Linked DNA regions of Oryctolagus cuniculus. The protein of the gene in region 3 interacts with the protein of the main gene of each other region in a pairwise test. Links are inferred from orthologs where the notes say so. Each region holds a gene or a part of one and is shown on either strand. Other genes may lie near its edges.

Evidence for each region.
Region 1: the proteins of TRIM42 (region 3) and MEOX2 interact in binary tests that used the Homo sapiens proteins (3 or more experiments, as listed by UniProt). The two-hybrid records come from large-scale screens. The link is inferred for Oryctolagus cuniculus from reciprocal best matches to the Homo sapiens genes TRIM42 and MEOX2.
Region 2: the proteins of TRIM42 (region 3) and YWHAQ interact in binary tests that used the Homo sapiens proteins (3 or more experiments, as listed by UniProt). The two-hybrid records come from large-scale screens. The link is inferred for Oryctolagus cuniculus from reciprocal best matches to the Homo sapiens genes TRIM42 and YWHAQ.
Region 4: the proteins of TRIM42 (region 3) and LONRF1 interact in binary tests that used the Homo sapiens proteins (3 or more experiments, as listed by UniProt). The two-hybrid records come from large-scale screens. The link is inferred for Oryctolagus cuniculus from reciprocal best matches to the Homo sapiens genes TRIM42 and LONRF1.

The regions. Positions count from the first base shown.
Region 1 is NC_091447.1:7,287,518-7,296,055, reverse strand, and holds the start of MEOX2 (homeobox protein MOX-2), read left to right. Parts: upstream 1-3,680; 5' UTR 3,681-3,968; coding exon 3,969-4,482; intron 4,483-8,538. UniProt on the Homo sapiens protein: Mesodermal transcription factor that plays a key role in somitogenesis and somitogenesis and limb muscle differentiation. Required during limb development for normal appendicular muscle formation and for the normal regulation of myogenic genes.
Region 2 is NC_091433.1:192,531,440-192,539,297, forward strand, and holds part of YWHAQ (14-3-3 protein theta), read left to right. Parts: intron 1-4,135; coding exon 4,136-4,259; intron 4,260-7,615; coding exon 7,616-7,779; intron 7,780-7,858. UniProt on the Homo sapiens protein: Adapter protein implicated in the regulation of a large spectrum of both general and specialized signaling pathways. Binds to a large number of partners, usually by recognition of a phosphoserine or phosphothreonine motif.
Region 3 is NC_091435.1:141,096,494-141,104,351, reverse strand, and holds part of TRIM42 (tripartite motif-containing protein 42), read left to right. Parts: intron 1-519; coding exon 520-1,217; intron 1,218-3,420; coding exon 3,421-4,241; intron 4,242-7,858.
Region 4 is NC_091433.1:78,006,088-78,013,945, forward strand, and holds part of LONRF1 (LON peptidase N-terminal domain and RING finger protein 1), read left to right. Parts: intron 1-1,021; coding exon 1,022-1,144; intron 1,145-4,178; coding exon 4,179-4,328; intron 4,329-6,626; coding exon 6,627-6,867; intron 6,868-6,959; coding exon 6,960-7,056; intron 7,057-7,858.

The DNA.
Region 1 (8,538 bases), on a different chromosome or scaffold from region 3:
CTGGGCATTTAGCATATTTGGATATATTTTTAAAATTCTTTATTTCAGAAGGGCCAAAGTACATAGCTGTTACTCCTTGAAAAATGTAGCAGAAATAATGTTTATAATATGCTTAATAATATTTGTAAAACAAATTCCAGCTTCAACTTAGTGATCCACAGCTAAATTCAAATGTTTTGGCCGTATGCTACCAAGGCAAGTTTATCTATCAGGTAAAATGCAAAGTAGAATTTCATTATATTTAGTCTTAAACATTTTAATTCCCATCACGCTACATGTTGCAAATGTCCATGGCAACTTTTGAAAGAATCATCATGAATATCACAATAAAATTTACCTGTCAACTTTTTAGATTGTTTGATATAAGTTCTACTATCCTTTGAACCAGATAGTCCTAATTTGCTTTGTATAAAGATATTTGCCTTTACTGTTGAATTTCATTTCATTTTGGCAAAGGTAATGATGGATTCACACATTATCAAGTTTAAAGAGCCCAGTACATCCATAAAATAATTTTGATTGTGTGCCCTACAAGACCTGATTAACATTTTCATATTATCAACCTCTTTTTAATGTGATCCTGGGTATGAAATCCTTGCATAAAGCACTTTTTTTTTTCAGAAAAACCAAGAATATAGTAAATACAGAATAACTACTAGACCACACATACTGTTATATAGAAATTTTATAACCAATTTTGTAGTTTGCATTATTCTTCTTGAAATAACTAGATAAAAATGGCATCTTTCAACATCAAATTTTATATATGCAAACATCGAATTAACTATTCTGGGAAATGCTAGGTTTTTTTTTTTTTTCCCTGTCATTATTACATTTTTTAAGAAAAAAATTTTTCATGGCCTAGAAAATAAAAATCAATATATCTGTTTTTATTCCAAATATTCTTAAAGGATGAAAATGTAAAACATGGTATGGAATAATTCATATATTTTTCGAAACTCAGAGAAAAATAAGGAAGTCATATTAAATTCTAGACTGCAGTAAGAAGACGATCTTTGATTTCTTTCTTCTTTGAGTCACACTCTTTCTCCTCCCAAATACATTTTCCTTGTATTATGCTTTATGTTAAGAGATCTGAACTGCGGTATTTCTACCCAGGGTAAGCGTGCTGGGTCTTCCCTTTATTTAAAGGACCTGTCTCCCTAGCTTCACCTCAGCTGCATGCCTGGGGGAGCGCCTCCTCCTTACTCCAACAGTTTTGAATTTTCCTTCCCAGGTTTCTGGCCTCGCGGTGCCCAAAGCCAACTGCAGCAGGTTGTGGAGAGATCGCTGGACCTGTTAGCATCCGACGTAGCGAGGGGGAGGCAGCCAGCCTGGGGCGCTGCGCAGGTTCCCGGCCGTGCGCTCGTTGCACCACGCAGCTTCCCCTGCGCGCAGGCACGCGCGGCTTTGCAGCTGCTGAACAAACGCGAGGAAAACCCGAAGGACGTTTCTGGGTGCTTTGCCCCACGTCTGCGGGTCGGGTGGCATTCTAGGTCCCTCTCGGCTGACATTTTCCACCAGGCTTCTGGTGGCCAGCGTCCCTATCAAACCCACGTGTCTGGTTACCTTCATGGACGTGCTTGCCTCAATTCCACTTTGGAAAAAAAAAAAAAAAAAAAAAAAAAAAGTCTTGCTCCTTGCACCCACAACCCAGAGAGTAGCTAAGGGTGTTGGGGGTAGTTTGTGTTGCTCTTTGTACTTCAAGTTCCCTACCGGAGCACGCAGTGGAGCCATCAACACAATGGAAATTCAAAGAAGATTCCGAAGGTTTTGGAGGAAGAGACCCCCCTCCACCTCCCCTTTATTATTGCTATTATTATTTTTTTAATAAAGCCCCAAGAGTGGAGGGAGTGGCAGGAAGGAATATCATTAAGCTCTGAGTCTTGGATGCCTCCCTGCGAGCGCGAACACCCCCAGAAACGTGCAACCCGCAGAAGACCCCCTCTGGAAGTCTGGAACCGCAGGAGATGCCGAAACGCGGGCGCAGAAAACCTTACCGTCCACGGCGTGCGGCCGCTTCCAGCTCAGACCCAGACTGGAAGGCTGAGCCGCCGCTCAACAAAAGCTTTAGTTTTTTTTTTTTTTTTTAAACGAAGTCTGCAAAACTAATTTCCCTCCAAATAGGGCTCCATTTCCGTTCAAGCCAGCAGTGCTCACACGTCTCCCAATTCCCCATCAAACCCCCGCTGCACCCCACCTCCAGGCCGCGGAAACGGATTCCATCTTTCCCGCGGATGCCAGGGTTCTCGCCAAGCTGCGGCGCTGCGGCTCCCCTCCAAAGGACCGCGGGGACGGGCAGGGGCCCGAGGGTCCTGCCCGTCCGTCGGGGACACCGCCCAGAGATGGCTCAGTACTCGCCCCTAATTCGAACCAGATGTCCAGCCCCGTCTGCTGTGCCCATTAATCTCAGGAACAACTTCAAAGACCTGGTCCCCATCCTCGGGACACCTGAGACAATGAAAATAACGGGGCAACACCGCTGGTGGCACGGCCGGGAGCAGTGAGGGCACGCGCGCTCCTGACGGCACCGGCCCAGCTGGGAGCCGGCTGCCCCGCGGCCCGGTGCGCCCCCGGGACAGAGCCAGCGGCCCGCATGCGCTCAGGGACTCCAAACTTATGCTTTCCTGTTTGCGGGATGCAAACCCGAAACGCCCAAGCGCCGATGGCACGCATCAGAGTGTTCGGTTTCCCAATCAGTGGCACCATAGCGCAGTGAGGAGGAGTGTGTGGAAGGAGCTGGTTTGTGTGGGAGCGGGAGAGAGGCGGTGGGGTTCTGGAGGAAAATCAAGGGCCCTGGGTTGCCTCCTGGGGGAGGAGGGGGCGAGGCTGGGAGCACGCGTGCAAATCCGCACGTGGCATGTGACAGGGACAAACTCTCTTCAGAATCTTCCCGGCCCAGGACAGCTTGCTCTAGATGGACTGGTGGCTGGGAAATGGAGTGGGACCAGTTTCGCTGTGACGGTCAGGGGGCGGGACGCCAAGGCAGGGCACCAGTAGGCGGCTCACGTCGGGATGCCTGGGCGCGGGCTTCCGCGCACTTTCCGCCGGCTCACCGCACCCAGTCCCGGTCCATTCGGTCTCGAGCGCTGCCCACTTGCGGGTCGCGCTGCGCAACTCCGCACCTGGACCCTACCCCAGAGCCCGGTGCCCGGCCGGCGCACACACCTCGGCGGCAAAAAGCCGGGCGCGCCTTGTGCCCCGGGGCGCACGCAGCGAGCGAAGTCTGAGAAACTTCTCGCAGCGTGCGCTAGACTTGGCTCTGCTCTGCCCTTTTCAGCCGCGCTCACTCCCCCAGGGGTTGGGCGCACCCCTAAGCTTTCCTGCGGGTGACAGTTTCCAAATGGCACTGACAAGTCATGGTGCGCGGGTAGGGGCTGGGGGGTGGGTGCGGAGCCGGGACTGGCGGGATCCCGGCGCCTGGTGCGCGGCTTGCAGCCCGGGGCTGCTGGCAGGGCCGGGCGGGCGGGGACACGCGGAAGGACTGTCCAGCCGGCAGTGGGAAGCGGGGCTGGGAGCGCGGGGCGCAGACTGAGCGGGCGCGCTGGAGGAGCTCGCATGTGGTCAGCGCCAGGCTCCTAAGCCAGCCCCCGGCTCACGTTACACTCTATTTATAACCTCCCAGAGCCCTTCCTCCCCCCCCCACCCCACCCCCCAGGCGTATAGTTCTCTGGGACCACCTTCTTTTGGCTTCGACCGCTCCCACTCTTGACATCCGAGTCGCTCGGAGGGAAGCTCCTCTGGGTCCCAGTGTTTATATGTGAAGGAGACCGGCCCGAGGGTTTAGGACAGGGATTACACGAGCGCTGCCGGAAAGCCCGCGCGGCTCTGGCCTGGGGACACAGGGGCGGCGTAGGGTGCGGGGGAAGCCACACGATTGCCACGGAGAAGCGCCCGCAGGCTGGTGGTGCCAGCGTTGGTGCGGTCGTCTTGAAGTCTTCCCGCCTGGAGCCCGCGACTTGCATGCTATGGAACACCCGCTCTTTGGCTGCCTGCGCAGCCCGCACGCCACGGCGCAAGGCTTGCACCCGTTCTCTCAGTCGTCGCTCGCCCTGCACGGGAGATCCGACCACATGTCCTACCCGGAGCTCTCCACTTCGTCGTCCTCGTGCATCATCGCGGGATACCCCAACGAAGAGGGCATGTTCGCCAGCCAGCACCACCGGGGCCACCACCACCACCACCATCACCACCACCACCACCACCAGCAGCAACAGCACCAGGCGCTGCAAACCAACTGGCACCTCCCGCAGATGTCCTCCCCGCCCAGCGCGGCGCGCCACAGCCTCTGCCTGCAGCCGGACTCCGGAGGGCCCCCGGAACTGGGCAGCAGCCCGCCGGTCCTGTGCTCCAACTCCTCCAGCCTGGGCTCCAGCACCCCGACTGGGGCCGCTTGCGCGCCGGGGGACTACGGTCGTCAGACGCTGTCACCCGCGGAGGTGGAGAAGCGAAGCGGGGGCAAGAGGAAAAGCGACAGCTCAGGTAAGGTGCGCGCCAAGGACCCTCGGCCGGAGTGCAGACGCAGCTGGGTCGGGCCAGGGCGGCAGTTTGCAAGCGCTGGAGGCTGCAGCGGGGCACAGCAAAAGCTGGGGCAGTGTCCAGCCCGCGCAGGTTTGGGAGATGCGGCTGTGGTCCCAGTTACTTGGGGGGGCGAGGGGAGTGTTACCCTTGTGCGCAACCTACACGCAGCCAGCAGCGGCAGCTCTAGGCTTCCCAAGGTCCCAAACTACTTCTCCAGAAGTTTGAGACCAAAGGGGAGCGAGTGACAGTTTGTGAAATCGATTGCGCGGCGTGACGGCCGGGCGCGGCGCCGGGAGGGGCGTGCGCCTGGGGATGCGTGTCCGTGGGGCGGGCGTGCGGGTGCGGCTCCCGGACTTCTGCCTCGCATGTTCCCGACTCCGAATGGCTCGCTTTTTCCCATCGTTAACTGGCTTTCCAAATCGTTGCACAATATTTGGAACCTTGGAATGGAACTTGGCAGAGCGTATGAGAAAAAAAAAAAGTTTTAGGTTATTTATTTATTTATTCTGGATTTCAGGATTCCTTAAATAGCAACCTATTCTAAATGGTAAATGCTTCCCTTTCTTGGGAAAGGAAGATAGTGTCTAAGAAGTTTTTTTTTTTTTTTTTTTTTTTTTTTTAAGGAGCATGTCAGAAATTTTTAAACAAATAGATGACGAAAAGTATTGGAGAAAGACGATTGTTAGGAGTAGTTAGTAGTATTCGTATGATACCAATGCAAAGGGAGAATCGAAGAGGTTTCAGGGTGGAAGATCAACTCCTCTCTCAATGAGTGCAATACGACAAAAACTGGGAATCCAAGGGCAGGTCCAGTGCTGTCTGCTCAAAGTGATACGCGCAACGGGGCACCCACCAGGCGTTCGTCTGCGTGCCCGGAACCTAACAGCCCTGGGAGCGCCGGAACGCGCAGCTTGCCCGGGAAATCTAACCACAGAGGCAGGTCTGCAAAGCCCTTACCTGCCTGCATTGTGATGAAATTGTTCAGAGGATTTTTCACTGAAGGGGAGTTGTGACCCTGGGTTCCTTCGTGTTTTAGGAAGATGTCATTTGCGCAATAGAACACTTAGCGTGTGTTTCTTTTGCGAAATTGATGTCTATAGTCCCAGAAGATAATCTCAGCCGTGGGTTGAAAGAGTTGGCAGATGTCTATCTCCTGTAAAGCTTTAGGCCACATAAAGGACGCAGATGGAAATGAGCGTTGGAATTGCTTTGCAGCGATGCTACCGATCTTTCTTCAGTTTAGCCTGCGCTGGATTTCTTTCGACTTTTACTTTCCAGGGTCAGGGGTGGACCATTAATGCCCCATCACAAATTAGTTAATATCTAAGAAAGTTACTAGCGATGTCACTCATTTTTAATGGGTTTTACTAACTACAAATGAAACTCTCTTAAGACCAGTTGAAAGGTTAATCCCAGCAAGAAGGTTTTCATCTTCATTATTTAAAGATAAATAAATAAACAAGGGCCAGTTTTAGACAGCAATGGCCCTTGCACAGACTGGGCGCTGGATATCAGTGTTGGTGTGGAAGCGGTGGCAGTTCAGGCGGTTCGGGCTGATGAGAACATCCTTCTAGAACTAGAAGCTCTGAGTGAGCGGCCCTTCTCACTCTCCGCGGGAGAAGCCGGATGATGGGCTCCCTCCTCAGGCGTCCTGACTCAGCCCAGTACCCCTGAGTGTCTTAGGGCAAATCCGAATTTCATAGGGCAAGTGTGATTTTGTTTGGGACAGATAGAGAAAGTGGAATACAAGAACTGATGCCCACGAATTGTTTCAATGAAACTTAAAAAAAAAAAAAATTGGCCTCCTTTAATGCTCCTTAGCTCCTCTCTCATGGATGAGAAATTAGCCATATAACAAAGTAAAATTCATTTTTACATGTTGAAGCTGATATTTAGGGTCCATGAAAAGCAAGTTTGTGTCAGCCGCATAAAGTATTGATAGATTACAGCTTGAGTGGGAAATACACTCAGCCATCACCAAGGATAAAATCATTGGGGACTTTAGATGAGGGTTTTCTTTGATGGTACGTTCTGGAAGAATGTTTGACTAAAAGGAAACATCACAACAGTTTCTGGCTCGATCTATTTATGGCATAATTATTGAAATTAAACTTAATTGGCCAGTTTTAACCTCTGAGTTAATATTGACTAGACATTTAGGTAGATTTAAGTTTAAGATGTCTTTCTCCTATATTGCATTTGGTTTTCCATAATTTATGTTAGAATTTATTTTACTCCTTAGTGTTATAAGGACTTCTCAACATAGCAGAAACTGAAGCAACAGTAGAAATAATTCTTATTCTGGCCTATTCTTATCATGCATATTAACATTATAACTCTTGCTTTATAACACAGTTTTAATACTGCAATATTTCTAAAACCTAAAATGGAGTTGATTTCTGAACTCTGAAAAGTTGAAATTGTGTTAAGTGAAATGCAGATCATGCATCGTGGAGATCATGTGCATTTGGTCATACAGTTTATAATCACTGTGTAGTTATAGTGGAGAATGAACGCGATGCATACAACCATGGCGAAGTCCAAACACGGCGAAGTCCAAACGCCTGCATCTAACACCAAACTGTACTTGTAGTGTTTGTGACAATGCTAAATTCTAACAGAATTTAGATCACTAGAAAATATTGAAAAGCGGCCCAAATATTTATAAACCACGCATCTGTATCCATAGTAATGATGCTAAAAGTACAGTGTGTAACATTTCCCAGTATGGATATGCATTTCCCCTTCACAAACACACATGAACACACACATGTACAAATCATGGAAGCTTAGGGGTTTAGAAGCAAATATTTATGGACTTTAGGCCTCCATTATAGTTTATTGACAATTGAAAATAACCAAGTTTAATAGGAAAGTACACCATTATTTTTTATATGTGTTAACATTTTTGTAACTTTGAACCCGCTATGCTTTCTAGCATTATTAGCAAGCCAACATCTGCTACGTCTTCAAAGGGACTCTTAAAAATTGAAAGTTTACAATGGTGCTTAAGACAATCAATACAAAGCAGGTGATTCTGAGCAATGTCTATAAATAGTGTCAATTGCTTGGCTTCAATTACATTTGATTGTTCTCCAAGTAGTGTAGGAACAGGGTATAAACTGCCCACTTTCAGTTAAAATAACTAAAATTGATTAATCGATGTAATGCCAGTTTTTTTGTGGGGGACATACAATATATATTGTAAATATATTCTTTCAAATTAGTGAATATAAGTTTGTATTTCCTAAAAGTCAGAACTTAATCCAAAACAGGGCATGATTTGGAGACATGAATTTTATTAGACGTTGCATTATATTAGATTCTTGTAAAATGGCAAATATTTTATTTATAGCTACCAACTCATAAAACATTTGTTGTGGAACAGTGTTTGTCTATATGCTTGGCATTGCAGAATGACAAGTACACACTGCACTTAATAAACTGAAAGTTAAACCCAAAGTTACATCTTACTCAAGCTAATTGTGCATCATATTGTAATTTTTCCTAGATATTCCATGACTGTGTTATATTATTCATTTCTGTGTTACTGAATTGTGTCTTTTTAGTAGTTGCTTTAGAGTAGAAGAAAATACTCTGTTGGATCTCAAAGATTAAGGAGAATGTTGAACAATTTAAAAGTCTCAAAACTACAGAATGTACCATTTTCACTCTTTTTCTTGGAGTAGTAGATTAATTTTTGGGTAAGAACTCTTTGAAATGAAGATGCTTTATTGTTGAATGCCATCAATGAATGAAAGGAAGAATGTAAATAAAAGTAGGAATATTTTCCAGTTCTATGTAAATCTCTAAAACATTTGAAAAGGAAAACCATTAAGTGCAAGACATGACAACATATAAGCTTTCCCTCAGGTTAGAAATTTGATGTTAAATATTTAACATTTAATTTTTACTTAATAGTAACTATCAATAGAAACCATTATGCTGACACCCTGTAAGCTGATTTCTACTCTTAAACTGGAAAAAAAATGTTTTGTTTATTACCCCTCTCCCCTC
Region 2 (7,858 bases), on a different chromosome or scaffold from region 3:
AGAGTGAGGTAGTTCTAAGAAAACAATCGATAACTAATAATTATGCTGGAACACATGCGCGCCAGGGCAGTGCTGAGCAGGATGCGGTCACTCTGCTCCTCCGACGTGCTTCATTGTTTACATTGGTTTGTTTGCAGAAGTTTGGGAAAGGTTTAGCCTTGGATATACATGGTAGTAATGATATGCCTAGAAACTTGAGTTTGAACTTTGATGTCTCCTCTGTGGCATCAGCTAAATCATACAGCTCGTAGGGTCAGTCACATTGGTCATAAGGTTTGCGTCTATATTTGAAAAATTTTACTCCCTCCTGTTTTTTAGAAAACAGAATGTAGTGCCATCATTCTTGGGTTCTAAGTTCAAGCTGCTCTCTCTGTAACATTTTTTTAAATAATGCAAAGATAATTAGTTGTTTGGTATATTCATGTTATTAATGGTAGAAAATATTTTCTTAAATGAATTGATGTTACCAACTTGGGATCAAGTTAGATGATTCCTTGTCTCCTTGGTTAAAGCAATAAATCCAAATGCATTGTGGGAGTTAACCCTAGTGGGTGTTCTCGTAGTAGAATGGTGATTTCTGAGACTAGAAGGCCTTTCCTGATATTCTTATTATATAATTACAGAAACAGGCACTTCAGTGTTGACTCTGTGGTGTAGTATTAAGCCCCCACCTGCAACACCAGCATCCCATGTGGGCCCTGGTTCGAGTCCTGCGTGCTCTGCTTCTGATCGAGCTTTCTCTAATGTGCCTGGGAAAGCAGCAGAAGAGAGAAGATGGCCCACATGCTTGGGCCCCTGCACCCACATGGGTGATCTGGATGAAGCTCCTGGCTCCTGGCTTCATCCCGGCCCAGTCCTGTAGCCATCTGGGGAGTGAACCAGCAGATGGAGGAGCGCTCTCTCTCGCTCTCTCTCTCTCTCTCTGACTCTGACTTTCAAACAAATACATAAATAGATCTTTTTAAAAAATCTGTTTCACAAATGGTAATTAATTTCAAAAGCCCATTTATTCTGAAAAACACAAAATACTCTCGTTTAGTTTTATCAATTAGAGGTAAATCTCTAGCTTAAGTTTGACCTTATCTCTCCTAGACAGGATCTCTTTTAGGATATATTAATGTGCTGATTAAGTTTAGAAATGTGTGGTTAGTGGCTCATATAACCTAAAGTTAGAGATTAACTGTGTTGATTGCATATTTATTTTATACCTTTTACTTTTTGTTTTATTTATTTGAAAGGCAAAGCAAGAGAGAGATCTGCCTTCCTTCCATCTGCTGGTTCACCCCCAGATGCTCTCAATAGCCCAGGACTGGTTCCGGCCTAAGCCAAGAGCCCAAAGCTCAGTCTGCTCTCCCACATGGCAGGCAGGGACCCAGCTTCTTGAGCCATCACATGCAGTTATCTACTGTTTCTTAAATCAGTTCTGAATATGAAAGAATAAGCTATTTAATGAAAGAGCAGCTTATTTTGACTGTAAAATAGATATCAATTTTTAAGTGCATTCAAGATTAAAAAATTAGTTTGTTGGCTGCTATAGAATATTACCAAATGAATTATTTTGGAAAAGCTATTGAAGTGATGTTAGTATTGTTATATGCAACAATAATTCATTTAGAATTAGCATGCTGGATGTTTTGTTTTTAAAAAGATTTTGTTGGCCGGCGCCGTGGCTCGATAGGCTAATCCTCCGCCTGCGGCACCGGCATACTAGTTATAGTCCCAGTCGGGGCGCCGGATTCTGTCCCGGTTGCCCCTCTTCCAGGCCAGCTCTCTGCTGTGGCCCGGGAGTGCAGTGGAGGATGGCCCAAGTACTTGGGCCCTGCACCTTTTCTTTTCTTTTCTTTTCTTTTCTTTTCTTTTCTTTTCTTTTCTTTTCTTTTCTTTTCTTTTCTTTTCTTTTCTTTTCTTTCATTTATTTTATTTATTTGAAAGACAGAGTTACAGAGAGACATAGAGACAGAGAGAGGTCTTCCATCCACTGGTTCACTCCCCAATTGGCTGCAATAGCCGGAGCTGCGTCAGTCCGAAGCCAGGAGCTTCTTCCGGGTCTCCCACGTGGGTGCAGGGGCCCAAATAATTGGGCTATCTTCCACTGCTGTCCCAGGCCATAGCGGAGAGGTGGATAGGAAGAGGAGCAGCCGGGACTTGAACCAGCCCCGATATGGGATGCCGGTGCTTCAGGCCAGGGCATTAATTTGATGCGCCACAGCACCAACCCATGTTTATTTTCTTTAAATAAGTTATAAATACAACAATTGCCTTTTGTTTCAATCAGATAAAAAAACAGATTGTTCTTGGATTAAAACTACGTTTTCGGGGACATAGGCACCTGTTTTGAGTCCTGGCTCCTCACTTCCAGTCCAGCTCCCTGCAAATGTCCTGGGGAAAGCAGTGGAGGTGGCCCAAGTACTTAGTTTCCTACTACCTAATTGGGAGACCTGGAAGAAGCTCCTTCCTGGCTCCTGATGGCCCAGTTCTGACTTTAGTAGCCATCTTAGGAGTGAACCAGCAGATGGAAGACTCACTCTCTCTCTTTCTCTTTCTGTAACTTTCAAATAAATAAATAAATAAGTCTTTGACAAGAAGATTTTAAAACTACATTTTTGAACTTTTGTTATTTTATATCTATAAACAACCTTCCTTTTCATTTTTGTCTTTTGTGACTTTTTTTTTTTCCAGACTTATTTATTTATTTGAAAGGCAGAGTTACCCAGAGGCAGAGAGAGAAAGAAAGTCTTCCATCTGCTGGTTCACTCCCCCATGGCTGCAACAGCCAGAGCTGGGCAGATCCAAAGGCAGGAGCCAGGAGTTTCTTCCAGGTCTCCCACACAGGTGCAGGGGCCCAAGGACTTGGGCCATCTTCTATTGCTTTCCCAGGCTATAGCAGAGAGTAGGATCAGAAGTGGAGCAGCTGGAACTTGAACCGGCACCTGTATTGGATGCCAGCAATACAGGCGGTGGCTTTACCTGCTACGCCACAACACTGGCCCCTTTTGTTACTTTTTATACTCAGATATTCCTATGCCTCTACAAGTATAAATACTTACTAAGAAGTGCTATCTCATTGAATCAGATGTCCTTTTTTATTTTTATTTTTTTTTTAAAGATTGATTTATTTTTGTGAAAATCAGAGTTAGAGGTCTTCCATCTATTGATTCACTCCCCAGATGGCTGTAGTAGCCAGGGCTGAGCCAGGCTGAAGCCATGAGCTTTGTCTGGATCTCCTGTGTAGGTGGCAGGAGCCCAAACGCTTGGACCATCTTCTGCTTTTCCCAAGCCATTTGCTGGGAGCTAGATTGGAAGTGGAGCAGACGGGACACAAGCTAGCACCCATATGGGATTCCGTGCACCGCAAGTGGCTGCTTTAACCCACTATGCCACGATGCTGGCCCCTCAAGTGCACAGCTTATTGTATGGTGTCACTGATAAAAGACATACAGAAATACCGTAATTTATTGATTAGATTGAGTAGACAGAATTATTCTGTCTTGCTGTGCTGTCAGCTGCTGACGCTCTGCCCTCTGATCGCCTTGATTCCATGGACATCCGGGTGCAGAGTGCGCTGGTGAGCTCTTTAGTTCTCTGTTCTCACGCTGGATTCTGCGCAGGCTGATCTCTGCCCCGAGTGCTCCTGCTGTCGATTCTTGACAGTCAGATCTCTGTTCCCCTGGAAGCCTGAACCAGAGGCCGTCTCCAGCAGCGCTAGCTACTCACTCCTGTCCTGTTCCTGTATTTCTCTGTGCTTAGCATGCAGTTAGTGGTGTATGGACAGAGGCTGAGCTTCTTGAGGGCAGGCCTCTGCTCTTAGGGCTTCTCTGTGTCTGCTGTCAGCAAATACCTGACACCCAGCAGATGTCAGTAAGTGTTTGTTGAATGACCAGGTGAGTGAATGGAGAGACCCTTTGTGAGGATACTGTTTTGTGTGATGTAGCTTTCTTTAAAATGTGCCAGGGAGACGGTGGCAACAGGCTGACACTGCTGTAAGGACATGCTTCAAGGCCAGGCGGACGTGGTGAAGGATTATTGTGGTTAAGGATTCTATTACATGAAGGCAGAAGTTAGATTATTCTAAATTCTTGTCTGTAATTAAATAGCTTTTATTAGCGCCTAATTTTTTTATCTTTTTTTTTTCCAGGAATTGTTGGATAAGTATTTGATAGCCAATGCAACTAATCCAGAGAGTAAAGTCTTCTATCTGAAAATGAAGGGCGATTACTTCCGGTACCTGGCTGAAGTTGCATGTGGAGATGATCGAAAACGTAGGTATATTTGGTTTCAGCTAAAGCCAAAATAAATAAAAGGCAGTTGGTGTAAATGGGACACTGTTCCAGTGCTCTGTAGTCTCCAGACTCCTTGTAACTTTGAAAACAAACAAAACTCTGAATGATATGGATCAATAAAATGAATATTTATCTTATTTTCTAAAAATAAAAGTAGGGGATCCAGCGTTGTGACGTAAGGGCTTACGCTGCCACCTGCAACACATAGCTGCTGACTCACTTGTACTCTGTGCACTTGGGAAAGCAGTGGAAGATGGGCCAGGTCCTTGGGCCTCTGCAGCCACGTGGGAGACCTGGAAGACGCTCCTGGTTTCTGGCTCCTGGCTCCTGGCTCCAGCCTTGCCGAGCAGCAGCAGCTGTGGTCATCTGGGGAGTGAACCAGCGATGGAGACCTCTCTCTCCCTCTCCCTCTCCCTCTCCCTCTCCCTCTCCCACTCCCACTCCCACTCCCACTCCCACTCTCTGTAACTCTGTCTTTCAAATAAATCTTTTTAAAAAATGAAAATAGGCACAAATGTTTGGTACAGTGGTTAGGATACTGCTTGGGACACTCATATTCCGTTCTGGAGTGCCTGAGTTCCAGGGTTCTAGATTTCTTTTTCTTCTTCCTCTCTCCCTCTCTCTAAGATTTTTTTTATTTACTTGAAAGTCAGTTACAGAGAGAGGGTTTCTGTCCGCTGGTCACTCCCCAAATGGCTACAACGGCCTGGACCAGGGCAAAGCAAGGAGCCAAGAGATTCATCTGGGTCTCCCTCATGAGTGACAGGAGCCCAAGTACTTGGGTCATCTTCCACTGCTTTCCCCGGGCCAGTAGCAGGGAGCTGGATTGGAAGTGGAGCAGCTGGGACGCAAACTGGTGCCCACATGGGAGCTGGTGTTGTAGTCAGTGTCTTTACCCGCTACACCACAACACCAGGCCCTGGGTTCAAGTTTTGACTCCACTTCCAATTCTAGCTTCCTGCTGTTGCATATCCTGGGAGGCAGTGTTGATAGCCTAAGTACTTTGGTCCCTGCTACCTAATATGGGAGATCTACATTGAATTCAAAGCTTCTGTCTTCAGCCTAGCCCAGCGTTGGCTGTTGCAGACTTTGGGAAGTGTATCAGAGGGTAGAAGATCTCCCTCTGTCTCTTTGCACCCAAATGGGATGGCAGCGCTGCAGGCGGAGAATTAACGTACTGCACCATGGCGCCAGCCCCGGTGTTGCAGTACTTCCTATAGTACTTTAATACTGAAAACAGGGAATTATGGAAGGGATCTCAGATTTCATGTAAAATACATTTTAGGAAAAACCATGCCTGGACGGTGAATAATTTGTTCCATGGTCACAGTAAGCTTGAGTGACCCACATGACTAGGGCTTACTTTACAGGACCTCTTTGATAAGTAATAGTCATATAAAAAGATTTGAATTTTTTTAAAGATTTATTTATTTTACTTGAAAGTTACACAGAGAGAGAAAGAGAGGCAGGGAGAGAGGTCTTCCATCTACTGGTTCACTCTCCCAATTGGCTGCACTGACCGGATCTGTGCTGATCCAAAGCCAGGATCCAGGAGCTTCTTCCAGGTCTCCCACGTGGGTGCAGGGGCCCAAGGACTTGGGCCATCTTCTACTTCTTTCCCAGGCCACAGCAGAGAGCTGGTTAGGAAGTGGAGCAGCCAGGACTTGAACCGGCGTCCATGTGTGATGCCAGCACTGCTGGCAGCAGCTTTACCCACTACACCACAGCACCAGCCCCTAGATTTGAATATTAAATACCTTTTTTTAACCCTTAGACTGTTACAGAAAATGTAATGGGGGAATAATTGAATCACCTGATTTGATTATGGGAACATCAAAGTTTATTTATAGTAAACTTAAGTCTCCTGGGTTATTAGGAGCTGAGCATAGTACAGATCCTAAGTTTTGTGTATGTGCCTGTTAGTAGATTTGTCAAGTTCTAGGTGGAAGTGTTGCTGAAATTCTGATTGTTTTCCCCAGTGAATTTGTGGTGTTCTTGGTTCTCAGTTCTGCCCCCATCCAGTAACATAGCTGCACAAGTAGATACCAGTGCGACTGAAGCCATAAAGAGGAAACCACTGTACTTGCTCTAACATTTGTGTACAAATTTACTGTTACTGATAGAGAGTTTTTGTTGCCACAAAGGTAAGCAGAGTTGGAAGTGAAAATACTGGCACAGAACTGAGCGTGTAAGTGCCAGCGAGGCAGAGGACGTCTTACTAGGACATTCCTGGCTTGAGGCCGACCTCGGCCCTCTGTCTCGTGGGCACTCTGAGCTCCTGCTTTCAGTCCCTCGGGTGCCATCAGCTGTCTTTCCAGCTGAGCTGACCGCTTCTGCTCTGTGTAGTCCCTCCTTAGATGCCCACAGCAAGAGCCACTTACTGTGGGAGTTGTGATTAGATCAACAATGATGCCGTTTCAGAGGAGGGAAAGTGCACAGTCAAGTCATAAAGGGGTTGCTTAATTTCTGCTATGTCATTGTCTTCAAAAAAGCTGGGGTAGATCCACGGCCTTAAATAGAAAACAAACCCTTTCAAAACAAATATAATCAAGTTCATGTTGGTAATGCTTCCTAATTATTTTTTTTTTAATTTATTTATTTGACAGTCATAGTTACAGACAGAGAGAAGGAGAGACAGAGAGAGAGGTGTTTTATCCGCTGGTTCACTCCCCAAATGGCCACAATAGCCTGAGCTGAGCCGATCCGAAGCCAGGAGCCCACAGCCTCTTCTGGGTCTCCCACTCGGGCACAGGAGCCCAAGGACTTGGGTCATCCTCCACTGCCCTCCCAGGCCATTGCAGAGAGCAGGATCAGAAGTGGAGCAGCCAGGACTCGAACCAGCGCCCATATGGGATGCCAGCACTGCAGGTGGTGGCTTTACACTGCGCCACAGCACTGGCCCCTCCTGAGCATTTTTTGAGGGAGGCTACTCAAAGCAGATTTTGCTGTATTATTGGCACTTTATATTGCCTCACCCAGAGCATCGTAATACCCAGAGCGTCTGTTTGCACAAATAATGTCACAAAAATAGAGGGGTTCTTGTGATGGTGATCTTTGTAATGTGATCTAAAAGCTAGGAAAAAGAAAACAGTTTTAATATCATTGATGGAAGAATCTATATACTGTCTGTAAGCTGACTATAAGCAAGCAACACTATGAGCTAGTTTTAAATATCCAAGACAGGATAAATGTTTGTAGCTTGCTACTGTGGTTTCAGAGGAAGATAACAGAAACATCTGGCTCTGCCAGGAGCTAGTAGCATGTTAAAATTACTCATGTGCTGGTCTCTGGCTGTTTTCCAAAGGATCATGCCTTTTATTTTTTTCTCTTCACAGAAACGATAGATAATTCCCAAGGAGCTTACCAAGAGGCATTTGATATAAGCAAGAAAGAGATGCAACCCACACACCCAATCCGCCTGGGGCTGGCTCTGAACTTTTCTGTATTTTACTATGAGATCCTTAATAACCCGGAGCTCGCCTGCACACTGGCTAAAACGGTAAGATGTGTGTTGATTTCTGGGTTTTCACTTGGATGCTCAGGGATGACTGCTTTCTGTTTATTGACCACCTGAAGGA
Region 3 (7,858 bases):
GAACTCAGACGTGGCGCCACCCTTCATTTGCATCCATCTCCAGGGGGTCTGAGAGCCACATCTCACAGGCTTCCTGGAGGAGGAAGACACACACACACACACACACACACACACACACACACCTTTCTCTGCCGATGTCTTCCAAGTAAAAACCACCAAGAACACACCTGTAGTTGGACAGGACTAGATTTATTAGCCCACTGAAACAAGTGAGAGCATCAATTATTATAGGCCTTGGGCTCATGTTAGGTGACAACATGGGTATTCGAACACCTGCTGTGTTCTGGGGGCTGCTCTCAGTCCTTACAGCTATGACACTCAGGGTCAATCCTCTGAAGAGGCTCTGCCGTGTGGGCACTCACCGCATCACCAGGAAGGGGGCAGAGAGAGGTTGACTGCCCTACCCGAGGTCACCCAGCTCAGGGCTGGTGGCGGCAGGTGCAGAACCCTGTGCTGCCTCTCTGACCACCAAGGTGGAGAAGCCGAGCTGGCTCTCAACCTATCCGCTCTTCCTTTCAGCTCCAAGACCGCCCTGCGCATCGGGAGCAGCGACACCCAGGTGGATGACCTGAAGTCGATGCCAGCCAACAGCCACCTGGTGGACCATCTCACCTGCCCCATGTGCAACCGGCTGCGCCTGCACTCCTTCATGCTGCCCTGCAACCACAGCCTGTGCGAGAAGTGCCTGCGGCAGCTGCAGAAGCACGCCGAGGTGACGGAGAACTTCTTCATCCTCATCTGTCCGGTGTGCAACCGCTCGCACTGCATGCCCTACAGCAACAAAATGCAACTGCCCGAGAACTACCTGCGCGGCCGCCTCACCAAGCGCTACATGCAGCAGCACGGCTACCTCAAGTGGCGCTTCGACCGCTCCTCCGGGCCCATCCTCTGCCAGGTCTGCCGCAAACGGCGCATCGCCTACAAGCGCTGCATCACCTGTCGCCTCAACCTGTGCAACGAATGCCTCAAGGCCTTCCACTCAGACGTGGCCATGCAGGACCACGTCTTCGTGGACACCAGCCCCGAGGACCAGGACGAGAAGGTCTGCATCCACCACCCGTCCAGCCGCATCAACGAGTACTGCCGCAACGACAATGAGCTACTCTGCACCTTCTGCAAGATCGCCTTCCACAGCGGCCATGACACCGTCGGCCTCATCGACGCCTGCTCGGAGAGGGCGGCCGCGCTCTTCAGCGCCATCGCCAAGTTCAAAGCAGGTCCTGCTGGTTCCCGCCCCACCTCACCTCCCCGACTCCCACCCCCACCCCGGGCAAGGCGGTTGGGGCGGTCTGTTTCGTGAGAGCCACTAGGTGGCGCCGCGGGAACTCCGGCAAGCGCCGGGCTGGGGTGGGTGGTTGGCCTGGCGCTGCACCTGGCACTGGCCGCCCCGCGCGCATGGCTTATCTCACCATGGCGGGAGCAATGAGGAGCATGGACAGGGCTTCTTCCTCCTCCCCTTTACCTGCTGTGTGACTGGCTGAGCCAGAGTTCCCTCATCCATCAATGGGAACAATGTCTTCTACGGAAGGTATATATGTAACATAAGACCTGTATATACATTTGGCCCATAATCTAATATATGGGTCTTGTTCATAATAAATGCTTACTAAATAATTTCTAGTTTCTAATTTTAGCTGTATAACAGGTCTTCAAAAAGATCATGGAAATGCATGTTATGAAAAACTATGCATGATTTTAATTCTTGGCACCAAAATAAACACACCTTTGCATTCCACGTTTCTGTGAGCTTTTTGAAACATCCTCACAGGTTTCAGAAGGCCTGAAGGAGACCTTGATTAGATCTTGCGCTAAGGTCAGCTCCAGCAAAGCTGTCCTGTTCATCAGGTTTGTGGGTAGAGATGTCTCTGAGAGCCTTCCTCTTGCATTCCCCCTCTCCTCGCATAGTCCCTTTCACCTCCTTTAAGAAATCTCCATCCTACACCCCCACCCCACCCCGGGCCTTTGCCTTACCCAAATTCACTAATGCCTAATACAGTCAGGAATTTCTTGTGCAAGTATCCTTGGCAGAGGGCACCTCTTGAATAGCAAGGAAGTTACTGCATGAAGTGGGATTTCTGTTGCCATCAGCCACAGTCAGGCTAGCATTTGGGAAAGGCGAGGATGCCTCTCAGCACTGCGGAATCACAGCCTAGGAGTCTCCTCTCCAGTCCTTACTCTGCTTCTTCCTTTCTGGGCCATGTGAGGAAGGAATTGGAGGCTACAGGGAGAGGCCAGACAATGGCGCTGCTGCTGTTCACATGGAGAAATCAGAAAACAGGAAAGAACGTCTTTCTCTCAGCAAACGCCTTTGGATCCCCTCTAGCCACTCTGGTCGTGAGGATAGCCCAAGGCACTGGGGTCCCTCTCCTCATGGTCTGGCTGTAGGGTTTCTCTGACTCAGATGCTCACCACCCACAGCAATCCAGGCTCCTGTGACCCAGGATGTTGTTTAGAACCAAGTACAAAAATACACAGGCACCTGCCACTCCTTTTTTTGATGGAGATCAGAACCAATGCACTGTGGTGTTGGCCTCTTATGCGGGGGAGGGCTTTCCTGTAGTATAGGTGAAAGATGGCTGGCATGCTCCCACTTGCTAGTTAGGCCCTAACAACAGTGTTCATCTCACAGAGACGTGCCACAGGCTCACCCTGCAACAGCACCCTCCAGCCATCGTATGGTTGGGTTTGTGAGTGCCTTGAGCATAAGTACACTTCATACTCATGTCTGTATTCCTAGTGCCCGGAAAGGCCTGCGGTGTGCAGCACGGCTCTGGGGAATGTTTGCTGAATGACTAACTGTGTGAACTTAAAATTGAAGTGCCATGGGACAGGGTGCAGGATGGATTGGTTCCCCGTGGAGTGTGACTGCAGACGCTTTCTTGAAAGGGAGAGGCGAAAAGACAGGAGAGGGAACAGCGCTGACCACGAGAGAGACAAAGGCTGCTATGCAGGACCACGGGTGTGCAAGAGGGCCCCCATGAGGGAACACTTTGCCGATTTCCCACTGCTGTCTGAGGCTGGATTCTGGGTGAATGAGGCAAGGCAGCATGTAGAAGGGGTCATCAGTAATGTACTTCTGTCTTCCACCACTGCAAAAGCCCACCTTCCTGCAGGAAAAACAGGGCCCTGGCCTAGATGACTTTGCCTCTTCTCAAGTCCAGCCTGCAGACAGGGCAAGTGTGGCAGGAACCAGAGGGATTGCCTTCACCAGCTGGGGCTAGGTCAGGGAGGACGGCTCCTGACACCTGGGGGAGGTGAGAGGGAGGGGCGTTCTGAGGGAGGCCACGTTCAGCCCAGCTGGGGGTGCCTGCCCTCCGTCCACTCACTCCCTCGGAGGCCAGTGCCGTTTAAGGGTTTGCTGTGGCTTTGGCATCTGGGGAGAGGAAGCTTCTAACAGTAAGCAACTTGGTTGTTTTGCAGTCCGATATGAAATCGATAATGACCTCATGGAGTTCAACATTCTGAAAAACAGTTTTAAAGCGGATAAGGAGGCAAAGCGGAAAGAGATCAGAAGCGGGTTTCTGAAGCTGCGCAGCATTCTGCAGGAGAAAGAGAAGAGCATCATGGAGCAGATCGAGAATCTAGAAGTGTCCAGGCAGAAGGAGATCGAGAAGTACGTCCACGTCACCACCCTGAAGGTGAACGAGATGGATGGCCTGATAGCCTACTCCAAGGAAGCCCTGAAGGAGACGGGCCAAGTGGCCTTCTTACAGTCGGCCAAGATCCTGGTGGACCAGATCGAGGACGGCATCCAGAGCACCTACCGGCCCGACCCACACCTGCGGCTGCACTCCATGCACTGCATGCCCTTGGACTTCGCCGAGCTCTCCAGCGCCATTCACGAGCTCTTCCCCACGGGACCCAAGAAGGTGTGTTCCTCCGGAGACTCACTGCCCACCCCCTACCCCATGCACTCGGAGATGATGATCGCCAGGAAGGTCACGTTCAGCACCCACAGCTTCGGCAACCAACAGATATACCAGCGGAGCTCCTCCTTGCTGTCCTTCAGCGCCGCTGGTGAGAAGGCCAAGGGGGGTCTGGAGGCCTACGGGAGGACCCAGTCGGCCGCGCCTGCCAAGCCCCCCGATGGGCTGTACACCTACTGGAGTGCCACAGCCGACAGCCAGCCTGCACAGAACTGCAACAGCTTCCACAACTGGTACTCGTTCAACGACACCTCTGTGAAAACCCCAGGCCCAATTGTTATCTACCAGACTCTGGTGTATCCAAGAGCCGCTAAGGTAAAAAAAAAAAAAAAAAAAAAAAAAAGGCTCTGGGCCCTGTGGGGAAGGTGGGAGGTTGTGGGGTCCAGAGTGGAGGTGGGTAAGCAGGGGAGGTTGTTTGACCTCTGGGTTCTGGCTACTCAGACCTGCTTCTCTCGTGTCTTTGGGGGTCAGCCTGTTCAAAAGGATTGAGTTCTGAAATCTTAAATAACCCAAGGTTGGCTTAAACCAAAGAGTCAAGGTATATTTAAAGCATGGCCGGAAATAAAACTGAGAGCCTGACCCCCACTCCCAGGCAGTTTCTCTACTGACAGAGAACTCCTGTTGGGAACCAGAGTAGTTTAAGGCGACGGCTGGCAGAAGGTGGTATTACCTGAGGGATGGTCTGTTACAGGGCACAGAAATGGGAATCAGGAATGCAGGCCCCTTTGCCCATGAACTTGGGTATTTCAAATTGGCTGCCTTTCCTAAAGAAACTATCATTGTTGTTATTGATTATTCTTATTAGAAGAATACTGGATATTCCAATATTGAAAAATCTAATAATCTTATTGGAAGAATAATCACCAACGGAATGCCAGTTCTTATCTCCTGAGATCTATCCTTGTTTGCAGAGCGGGGGTGGGGCTAGAGAGTGGGGTGTCTCACAGATCTCTACAACTGCCACCAGTGGGCCTCATGGGAATGACACCCTCAACCCAACATGGACAAGCGTCACGTGCCTTTCAAATATGCTTGTAGGATACTTTATTAAGCCCCATGGAAGCAAGAGATGAATATGTGACTCAGTACTGGACAGAGGTGTATCTTGCCTCCTCCTGAGCTTCATCACAGGCACCTCCCAGGCCAGCCTGTGTGGCTGAGCCCATCTCTTGCCCAATTCTCTGAGATACTCTCAAAGACTCTGGGCTTCCTTGACATCTGAACCAAGGCTTCTCAACACTCCCGTGTGCCCGGGGATGTTGTTAAAGCACAGACTCTGCTTCACTGGTTGCAGGGGGGCCTGACACATACCACTGTGTTTCTCACAAGCGTCCAGGTGTTGCCACTGCTGCCATCTGCAGCCCATACTGCAATATTGGGTTATCTAAATGGAGGAAAGTGAAGGTCTGCCACAGACCAGGCATCAATAAATAAAACATGTATTATGAAAAAGCGATGCATGGATTTCAAAATACTTTGCAACAGAATAGACATCTTTCATTCCATTTTCCATGAAGTTTTTGAAATTCCATTGTGAGTTTCAACACGCAGATTATGATGTCTCAGAAGTACGGAAAAGTACAAGGGGACTTCAAACAGAGAAATGAGAAGATTGAAGTTTATTTTGCTGCAAAAAAATTTGAAATCTGTGCAGTTTTTTCATAATGTCCATTTCCCATGGAGGTTTTGAAGACCTCTCGGATGACTGACACTAAGAATGACCACATTATGTAACATTATGTAACATGGCCTCCCATGGCCTAGAGACATGGTAGTCCCCACCCTTCACAGGAGGGACGCCCATCACTCAGCAGCCGAACTCATCTCCAAGGGCTACTGCATGAGCAAGACCTACAGTGTATGCGCCATTGGGTAGGCAGTGGGTGTCACCTGCACATTCACTCAGACCTCTTGCAAAATTGGCAGGAGTTTAGCCTGCGGTGTAAGTACTGGTGGTCCCTGCTCCATAACTGGGCTTGGGGAACAGTCACCCCACGCCACCTATTGGTCATCCCCAGGGAAGCTCCAGAAATGGGCTTCCATAGAACAACCAGGCAAGGGTGGCAGTGGAGAGAGAGATCACCTAAACCTGCCACCAGACAATGGCAGTCCTTGTGAAGCCATCACTGATCCGTATTTTAGGGCCACAGAATGGACTTTGCACAGGCATCATAGTGTTGTGTCACACAGGAGATTAAATCTCTGTTAACATCTCTGTCAAATCTTTAGAACATTGGCATCAGAAATATTCTTTTTTTTTAACTTTTATTTAATGAATATAAATTTCCAAAGTACAGCTTATGGATTGCAATGGCTCCCCCCTCCATAACTTCCCTCCCACCCGCAACCCTCCCCTTTCCCTCTCCATCCCCCCTTCCATTCACATCAAGATTCAGTTTCAATTCTCTTTATATACAGAAGATCAGTTTAGCATATATTAAGTAAAGATTTCAACAGTTTGCTCCCACACAGAAACATAAAGTGAAAAATACTGTTTGAGTACTAGTTATAGCATTAAATCACAATGTACAGCACATTAAGGACAGAGATCCTACATGAGGAGTAAGTGCACAGTGATATTCTTAAAGTTCATCTTATAATTTGTTAATATGTTTTGTTAAAAATCCTAGAGGTTTTTTTAACTCTAGAAACCCTTTCAAAGGAAATGATTAAAAATGTAGATGAATTTTCGTGCATGAAAGTGTTCGTTGCCACATTTATTTGAGTATAAAATTAGAAACAATCTAAATGTTCGACTAGATAAAGATTAAATTATTTATAGGGCAGTTTTCAGAGATGGTGCTTTACTGAATTTTTAATGATATAGAAAAATATATAAAATATAGTAAGTGAAAAAAGCAATATTTGAAGCAACATAATCCATATTACATGTATTTGTGCTTGTATTTCAAAATTAAAAGGAAATAATAATGAATTAACTAGATTGTGAGATTATTTGTGATGTTCACTTTTTCCCTTACACTTTTTCTGTATTTTCCAAGTGTGTCATTGATGAGTATGTTTGTTCTGATAACCAAAAAAAAAAAAAAAAAAGTAAGTTCATTTCTGCTGCTTTACAAATTGATTTGGCAGGTACCACCTACTGATTGACACTTGAGTCTTTTCCCAGGAGTTGGTATTTTATGCTTTGAGAGTGAACACAGATTCTCCATTATTGGAAAAGTCTTTTTTTTTTTTTTTTTTTTTTTTTTTGACAGGCAGAGTTAGACAGTGAGAGAGAGAGACAGAGAGAAAGGTCCTCCCTTTTCCATTGGTTCACCCTCAAGTGTCCGCCACGGCCAGTGCGTTGCAGCCAGCACGCTACACTGATCCAAAGCCAGGAGCCAGGTGCTTCTCCTGGTCTCCCATGGGGTGCAGAGCCCAAGGACCTGGGCCATCCTCTACTGCACTCCCGGGCCACAGCAGAGAGCTGGCCTGGAAGAGGAGCAACTGGGACAGAACCGGCGCCCCGACCGGGACTAGAACCTGGTGTGCCGGCGCCACACGCGGAGGATTAGCCTAGTGAGTCGCGGCACAGGCCGGAAAAGTCATTTTAATGTCTCTGGATTCTATTTCCTTGTGTATAATATAAAGGGTTGGAATAGGTAAACGTCTCATCTTCTAGTATTCTGTTTTTCCAGTAAAGTCTACTAATCTTTCTGGGCCTACAAAATGGAATCACACAGAGTCTATCTTCCAGGGCATTGCCAGGACTAAATGAGGTAGGGGTGGCAGCTCCTGACAGAATCTGGTCTTCAATAAATAGTAGCTGCTTCATTAGTGGTGTCAGGAGAACATCAGCCAGCCACACAGCACTCTTTGGTCCTTGAAAGCTGATACAAGAACCACGTCAGCCCTCATCACACAGCCTGCCAAGGCTGTTGCACAGGACCTAGCTCAAAGTCCCCCGCATACAGGGGGCGGAGTCAGCT
Region 4 (7,858 bases), on a different chromosome or scaffold from region 3:
TGTGTATAACATAATCTGTTTACTAATTTTCCTTTTTATTTAACTGCAAAGGCAATCTGTCTCCCTCCCATGTGTGTTGTTTAAGCTAGAAGTTATTTTATGTGTTTTTTTCCTATAACTCAGAGCTGTGCCATTAAGGACAGTGTAATAAGGATGCCTTAAAAATTATAAATTAATAAGGAAATGGATACAACAATCCCATGATGATGTGACTGTTGATACAGTCACATATGTATTAAGAATGAAACTGCAGTGGTTTGTGTGTATAGTTTTAAAACTGTTTAAAAGGAAAGAAACTTCGAGACTTACTATTGAAGTGATACCAGAAATGTGATTTTCTTCAGTTATTTAAATGGTAGCTAAAATTACTATTTGACAAGAATATATTTTAGGCCTCTCTGATGTTATTTAACACAACTCTGTGGTTTGTAAACCTCTCCATTCAAATTCTGTAGACTAGGCACATTTAAAGCTTGCCAGTTGACACTTTATTGGTAGACTGACTCACACACTGAATTTTTGTTTATCAGTGATCTAAATAAGGTTCCAGTTTTTGTCATGGAGCATGTTGAATTCCTATAATAAAAAATAAAAAATAAAGGAAAAATTTTGATGCATCTTAAAATAAGTATAATTCTGTATTGTATTTCTTTTGCTCCCTCAAACAATTATTATTAAATCAATAATCATTAAATAAGCAGTTTTTTTAAGGGGAGGGAACATAGTGTTTATGGTCTTGCTGAGCCCTGACTTGCTGTGGAACTTTGGTCGGGTCGTTGTCTGGGCCTCAGTTTCCCTGATGGTGCTTCTCCAGGGTAATGGGTAGATGTGCCTTTGCAGTTAAATAAAAAGGAAAATAAGTAAACAGATTATGTTTATGATTAGGCTTTGACCTCCTCAAGGTTATTTAATTCCAAAATCAGCATTTTTGAGCATGTTATTTGTTTTTCTTTTCTTGATAATGATTTTCCTGAAAATCAGTTTCATCCATAAAGGTTTTGTTTGTGTGCTTCCATTGAAGGTTTACTTCAGGAAAGGAAAGGTACTCCATGATGCTGGCTTCTTAGGTGATGCCTTACAGCTGTTTCTTCAGTGCTTAGCCCTTGATGAAGATTTTGCACCTGCAAAGCTGCAAGTAGAAAAGGTAATCAGTTTACCAACCATAATGTTTCCAGGCAGGGCTAAAACACAGATCTTTTTTTAAAATACTAATTGGAAAGTTACTATAAGTGAATAATCTAACTTCAGAGCAATTTGAGAGGTTTTCATGTTTGAATGCTTAGTGTATTAAGTTATTGGATGAAATCAGAACATTTCATTCACAGATATTTTGGTGCAATATTTTTGCTTAGTTAATTTAGACATTCCCTAATAATTTATCCAGTCCACACCAGACTGAGGTTTTTAATTAAAAACTGCTGTCCTGATGTTCTGCTCAGGACTCTATTAACCTGGCCTGTGTCTTTGGCTTGGGCTCTGAGCTTGGCTTTCTTTCCATGCTGCCAATAGTATTGCCCCAACTTGTTTTGCCTTATTTTTCTTAATGCTCCATATATCATTTTCTAACATGTGTGCTGCCTGTGGTGTGTTAGTAGGTGTTAATTAAAGAGAAGAAAAAAGAAGAGGGAAGAGGGGTTTCTGATCAAATGACTTTGGGAAATATTTGGTTAATACAAATTTAACAAGTTTCTTCAGAACTTTTTAGGGCCTTTTGATATGCTAGCATGAAAAAAAAATAGCCTTCAGCACAGATCATCTAGTGAGAGTAGTCTTTAAAAAATTCTTTGAGGGCCGACGCTGTGGCGTAGCGGGATAAACCATCACCTGCTTCACGGGTATCCCTTATGGATGCAGGTTCGAGTCCCGGCTGCTCCACTTCTGATCCAGTTCCCTGCTGATGCCCCTGGGAAACCAGCAGAAGATGGCCCAAGTCCTTGGGCCTCTGCCACCTACATAGGAGGCCTGGATGGAGCTCCAGGCTCCTGGCTTTGGCCTGGCCCAGCCCTGGCTGTTGTGGCCATTTGGGGAATGAACCAGTGGATAGAAGACCTCTCTCTCTTTCTCTCTCTCTAACTCTGCCTTTCAAATAAATAAATCTTGAAAAAAAAATTCTTTGAGAAAATCAACCCTAATAAAAGTTCAGGTTCCCTGTGCTGGTGCTCTCCTCAATCTTCTCAAAACAGGCCATGTGATTTGTCACCTTGGTCGTGTTTCTGGGTTTTTGTCAAAATTGCCTGGAGTGCATGTTGAACATTCCCCTAGTCATAGGCCTTTGGAATCATCATCTCTGGAATGGAGGCATCATAATAAGCATTCCAAGAGATCCATATGTACCTTAAAATAGGAGAACATTTTTCTCAGATCCCAGCAAAGATGCTTTACAATATTTTGTTTTTCTCCATATGCTTTTTGTAAATTGTGGTATAATTTACATGTAATAAAACACATAGATTCTATATAGTTTGTTGAGTTTTGAGAAAATGAATGTACTTGTGTTAATAGCATTCCAGTCAAAATAAAGGATGTTTCTGTCACCCTAAAGCATGCTTTCATCTCCTTCCCAGTAAATCTTCCATCATCTTGCTCCCAGAGGAAACTACTGTTACATTTCTATCACCATAGAGTAGTTTTCCTATTCTAGAGATATGAATGGGATCATCTAGTGTGTACTCTTTTTGTCTGTGGCTTTCTTCTTTTTGCTTAACTATTTTAAAAATACATCCTGTAATTTTTTTCTTTTTGTTAGTGACTGTATATTTCATTATATGAACAGACCATGATGTGGTATTCAGTTAGTAGTGATTTGTGTCTGGATTATTTTGTTTTGTTTTTAAAATAATTTTGAATAAAGCTGTTATGAACATTCCTGTACAATTAATTTTGTGCACATGTGTTTTTACATCTCTTTGGTAAATTCCTAGGAGTGGAGTTGCAGGGTTATAGGGTAGGTTTGTGTTTGACATTTTTTTTTTGACATCAAAGGAAATGTAAAATAAATAAATATTAAATATTTGTTTATTTGTACAATTTTATTTCTGTTGTGTATATTTCCTTTCATAATGATTTGTGAATTACTCTGATTCTTGTGTATTTGAGAGAGTATACAGCTGAAAAATGAGACCTCCAAATTTAGACATTACGAAATGCTCTGCAGCTTGTTTGACAGCCAGAAAAAGATCAGAACCTTTCTCATAGTCTTTCTAGCCAGGGTCTTCCCCCATGTTAACTTGCCCCTTCTCTTTGAGAGTTCAGATTTATTTCTGATTTAGACATCCAGAAATTGTGATTCCGCAGCTGTGGCCTAGTTAAACTCCTACTGTTACAGAGCAGCTGCTATGTGGTGATTGCCGCATAGGTTAGTTGTCAGTGAGAAGCTAATGTAAGTATAGGGAATTTCAGAATTCTATAGTTAGAGGTCCAGGTTCTCTAGTTCACATAAGTAGTCTAATTCCAACTTTAAAATCTGCATTGCTATGAGCCATGAACTGTTTTGACTAGGATATGGCTCACAGATATTCAGAGATGAACCTTTTTGACATCACATAAGATCCTTCTTCTTATAATCCTTGTATTAAAAGGTCTGCCTTTTCCTCAGTTACCTTCTCAGTCACCTAACCAGTCCCTGGTTCCCTTCAAAGTCTTGAATCATTTCTTTGAGGTTATTTGATCCCCATTGAGGTATACTTTGGTTTCATAAAAATTTTTAATTTGTTTTATTACCTAACCAGTTCTTCTCCTCTGCTTATTAAAATAATGTCTAGAAAAAAATCTTAAAAATCTTTTGTTTAAGATTTATTTTTATTTAATCGAAAGGCATAGTTACAGAGTTGGGGAGAGAGAAGGAACAGAGAGGTCTTCCATCCACTGGTTCACTCCCAAAGCCAAGATCCAGGAGCCTTTTCTAGGTCGCCCACATGGGTGCACAGGCCCAAGCACTTGGGCCACCCTCTGCTGCTTTCCCAGGTGCATTAGCAAGGAGCTGGATCAGAAGTAACGCAGCTGGGACTCAAACCGGTCTCCTATGGGATGCTGGTGTTGCAGGTGGTTGTTTAACCTGCTGTGCCACCACTCCAGCCCCACCAAGCAATCTCAAAATCCCTCTTAGGTAAATTTATATTAAATTATCCTTAACCCAAAATTTCACATTTTCTACTACTTTTGTAATATTTCTCTTACAGATTTTGTGTGATTTGTTATCACCTGAAAACTTAAAAGAAGACCTAAAGGAGTCTTCCTGGAGTTCATTACCATGTGTTAAAAACAAACCTTTTGTTTTCCCTGTGGTAATGGGAGAATCTCAATCCCCCAGTGAGCTCAGCCCACAACAGGTAAGGGGTGAGAAAAGCTTGTCATGGTTTTAGCACCAAGTAAATATTCACTTTTAAAATTTCTTTTTTTTTTGATTTTTTTTAACTTTTATTTAATGAATATAAATTTCCAAAGTACAGAATATTGATTACAATAACTTCCCCCCCATAACGTCCCTCCAACCCGCACCCCTCCCCTTTCCCACTCCCTCTCCCCTTCCATTCATGTCAAGATTCATTTTCGATTCTCTTTATATACAGAAGATCAGTTTAGCATACATTAAGTAAAGATTTCAACAGTTTGCTCCTGCACAGAAACATAAAGTGAAAAATACTATTTGAGTACTAGTTATAGCATTAAATCTCAATGTACAGCACACTAAGGACAAAGATCCTACATGAGGAGTAAGTGCACAGTGACTCCTGTTGTTCACTTAACAAATTGACACTCTTGTTTATGGTATCAGTAATCACCCTAGGCTCTTGTCATGAGCTGCCAAGGCTATGGAAGCCCCCTGAGTTCACTGACTCTGATAATTTTTAGACAAGGCCATGGTCAAAGTGGAAGTTCTCTCCTCCCTTCAGAGAAAGGTACCTCCTTCTTTGATGACCCATTCTTTCCACTGGGATCTCACTCGTGGAGATCTTTCATTTAGGTTTTTTTTTTTCCCCCAGAGTGTCTTGGCTTTCCATGCCTGAAATACTCTCATGGGCATTTCAGCCGGATCCGCATGCCTTAAGGGCTGATTATGAGGCCAGAGTGCTGTTAGGACATTTGCCATTCTATGGATCTGCTGTGTATCTCACTTCCCATGTTGGACCATTCTCTCCCTTTTTGATTCTATCAGCTAGTATTTGCAGACACTATTCTTGTTTATGTGATCCCTTTGGTTCTTAGTCCTATCATTACGATCAATTGTGAACAGAAATTGATCACTGGGACTGGTGAGATGGCATTGGTACATGCCACCTTGATGGGATTGAATTCGAATCCCCTGGTATGTTTCCAACTCTACTGTTTGAAGTAAGTCAGCTTGAGCATGTCCCGAATTGCACATCTCTTCCCTCTCTTATTCCCACTCTTATATTTAACAGCGATCACTTTTCAGTTGTTTCAGCACTTAAGAAGAATTGTGTATTGATTACAGTATTCAACCAAAAGTATTAAGTAGAACAAACAAAAAAAATACTAAGAGGGATAACATATTAAGTTGCTCATCAACAGTCAGGGTGAGGGCTGATCAAGTCACCATTTCTCATAGTGTTCATTTCCCTTTAACAGGTTTCCTTTTTGGTGCTCAGTTAGTTGTCACCTATCAAGGAGAACAAGTGGTATTTGTCCCTTTGGGATTGGCTTATTTCACTCAACATACTGTTTTCCAAATTCCTAACAGGGATCACTTTTCAGTTAAAATTTAAACACCTAAGAATAATTGTGTGTTAATTACAGAGTTCAACCAATGGTACTAGAACAAAAAAAAATACTAAAATGGATAAAGTATTACATTGTACATCAACCGTCAGGACAAGAGCTGATCAAGTCACTGTTTCTCACAGTGTCCATTTCACTTCAACAAGTTTCCCCTTTGGTGCTCAATTAGTTGTCGCCAATCAGGGAGAACATATGATATTTGTCCCTTTGGGACTGACTTAATTCACTCAGCATGATGTTTTCCAAATTCCTCCATCTTGTTGCAAATGACCGGGTTTCGTTGTTTTTGACTGCTGTATAGTATTGTATTAAAATTTCAAATACTAGACTCTACTTAAGTTCTTTTAATCTTTTCACTTAATAGGATTTTATCTCTGACCTTTTATTTTATGCTGAAACCTTATGTGTAAAAGATTTATTATCACAATTTTAGGTCACCTATATGTCAGAAAACTTTTAATTTCAGAATTTTTAGTCTCTTAGAATATGTAAAACACTATATGAGAAGACTGCAAAAAGTTCATAGGAAATGGAATTACAAAATGTTTATTTTGGTGCAAAAAGTTTTGAAACGTATAATTTTTTATAATAAGCATTTTATGTGAACTTTTTGAAAGGCCTTCATGTTTATTTTAGTTTCTTCAGTTTCTTACAGATACAACTATATTAATGTAACTGCTTTTAAACCTCTTTGTAACATAGTCAGTTTGATGTCTAGTACTAAGTACTGGCAAAAATCATTTACTAGCCAAGAATTTAGAATTAAAAGTTAGTGCAGTTAAATGGGCGATATAAAGCTCTGGAACTTCATTTCAGTTAGATTTTTAGCAAGAGGGATAAAGGATAGCACAGAAACAGTGGCACCTTTGTTTATTGTGTTTTTGTAGAATGAAGAAATACCAGCGGTCACTTCGGAGCCTGTCAAAGGCAGCTTAAGCCGTACTCAATCAGCACAGGCTATAAATTCAGCAGACATGTCTGCCAGAGGGGACTGTCTGAAAAGAGTGTCTTCAGAACCTTTACTCTCTGTTCAGGAGAAAGGTGTTCTGCTGAAAAGAAAGTTGTCTCTTTTAGACCAGGATGTGATGGTCAATGAAGATGGGAGAAATAAGCTTAAGAAACAAGGAGGTAAGCATTTCCCTAACTCTTCCATTCAATACCTTTGTTCAGAAGGGCCCTTCAACTTTTTCCTGAACAACAAATCCTATTTGTTTTAATAGAAAATCCCAGTGAAGTCTGTATGTTTTCATTAGCTGATGGGGACATCCCAGAAGAATTAATAGATGTCTCGGATTTTGAGTGTTCTCTCTGCATGAGGTAAGTATATAAAATTTTACAGAGGATATTGATTTACATAAAATATAGTATGGATCAAGGTATTAATAGTAAAAATAACAAAACTGGAATAAAAATCAAAATGTGAATTTTAATCCTAGGGTTGCCTTTCACACATTGGGCAAATAACTGAATCTGTACCTCAGTTTTTCTTATTTAGAAAATGGAGTCAGTACTTGTGTGGCCTTTATCACAGCATTGTGGGAATCAAATGAGTCACAAAAGAATCTGGGAAGGTGTAAAGTACTATGAGATTACTGATACCACTAACACTTGGATATATACATGGTTTTAGATTTGCCTAAGAATTGTAATTTTATATCTTATGTATATGATCCTATCTTGCTTGTGTATACAATCATAAAATCCTTTTTCAATAACACTGGAGAAGGATTTTCATTGTGCAGCATGCTTATTATTGTAAAGCACTAAATGTTTTAAGAGAACATTTCTTATTTAGATAAATTATGATTGACTCAAAGGATTCATGAATTTAGGAGCCTGGGACTAGTCACGCTAGACTGATAGGAACTAACTGTTCCTGAGTCAGTCTCTTAATTCTACGCCTTTGTTTCTTCATCTGTGATTGCAAGGGATTAGACCAGATAATTCTTAAACACCTATAACTAACAGTATTCCTAGGAAATTCACAAGTATAATATTTAGGAAATAATTATAAAGTTAGTAAAAGTAGCTTTTTATGTGTTGTTCATGTATCATGTCTACTAGTAAGCCTAATATTTACAGCTCAGTTGTAATATTTAGTAGGTTATTCTCTTTTATG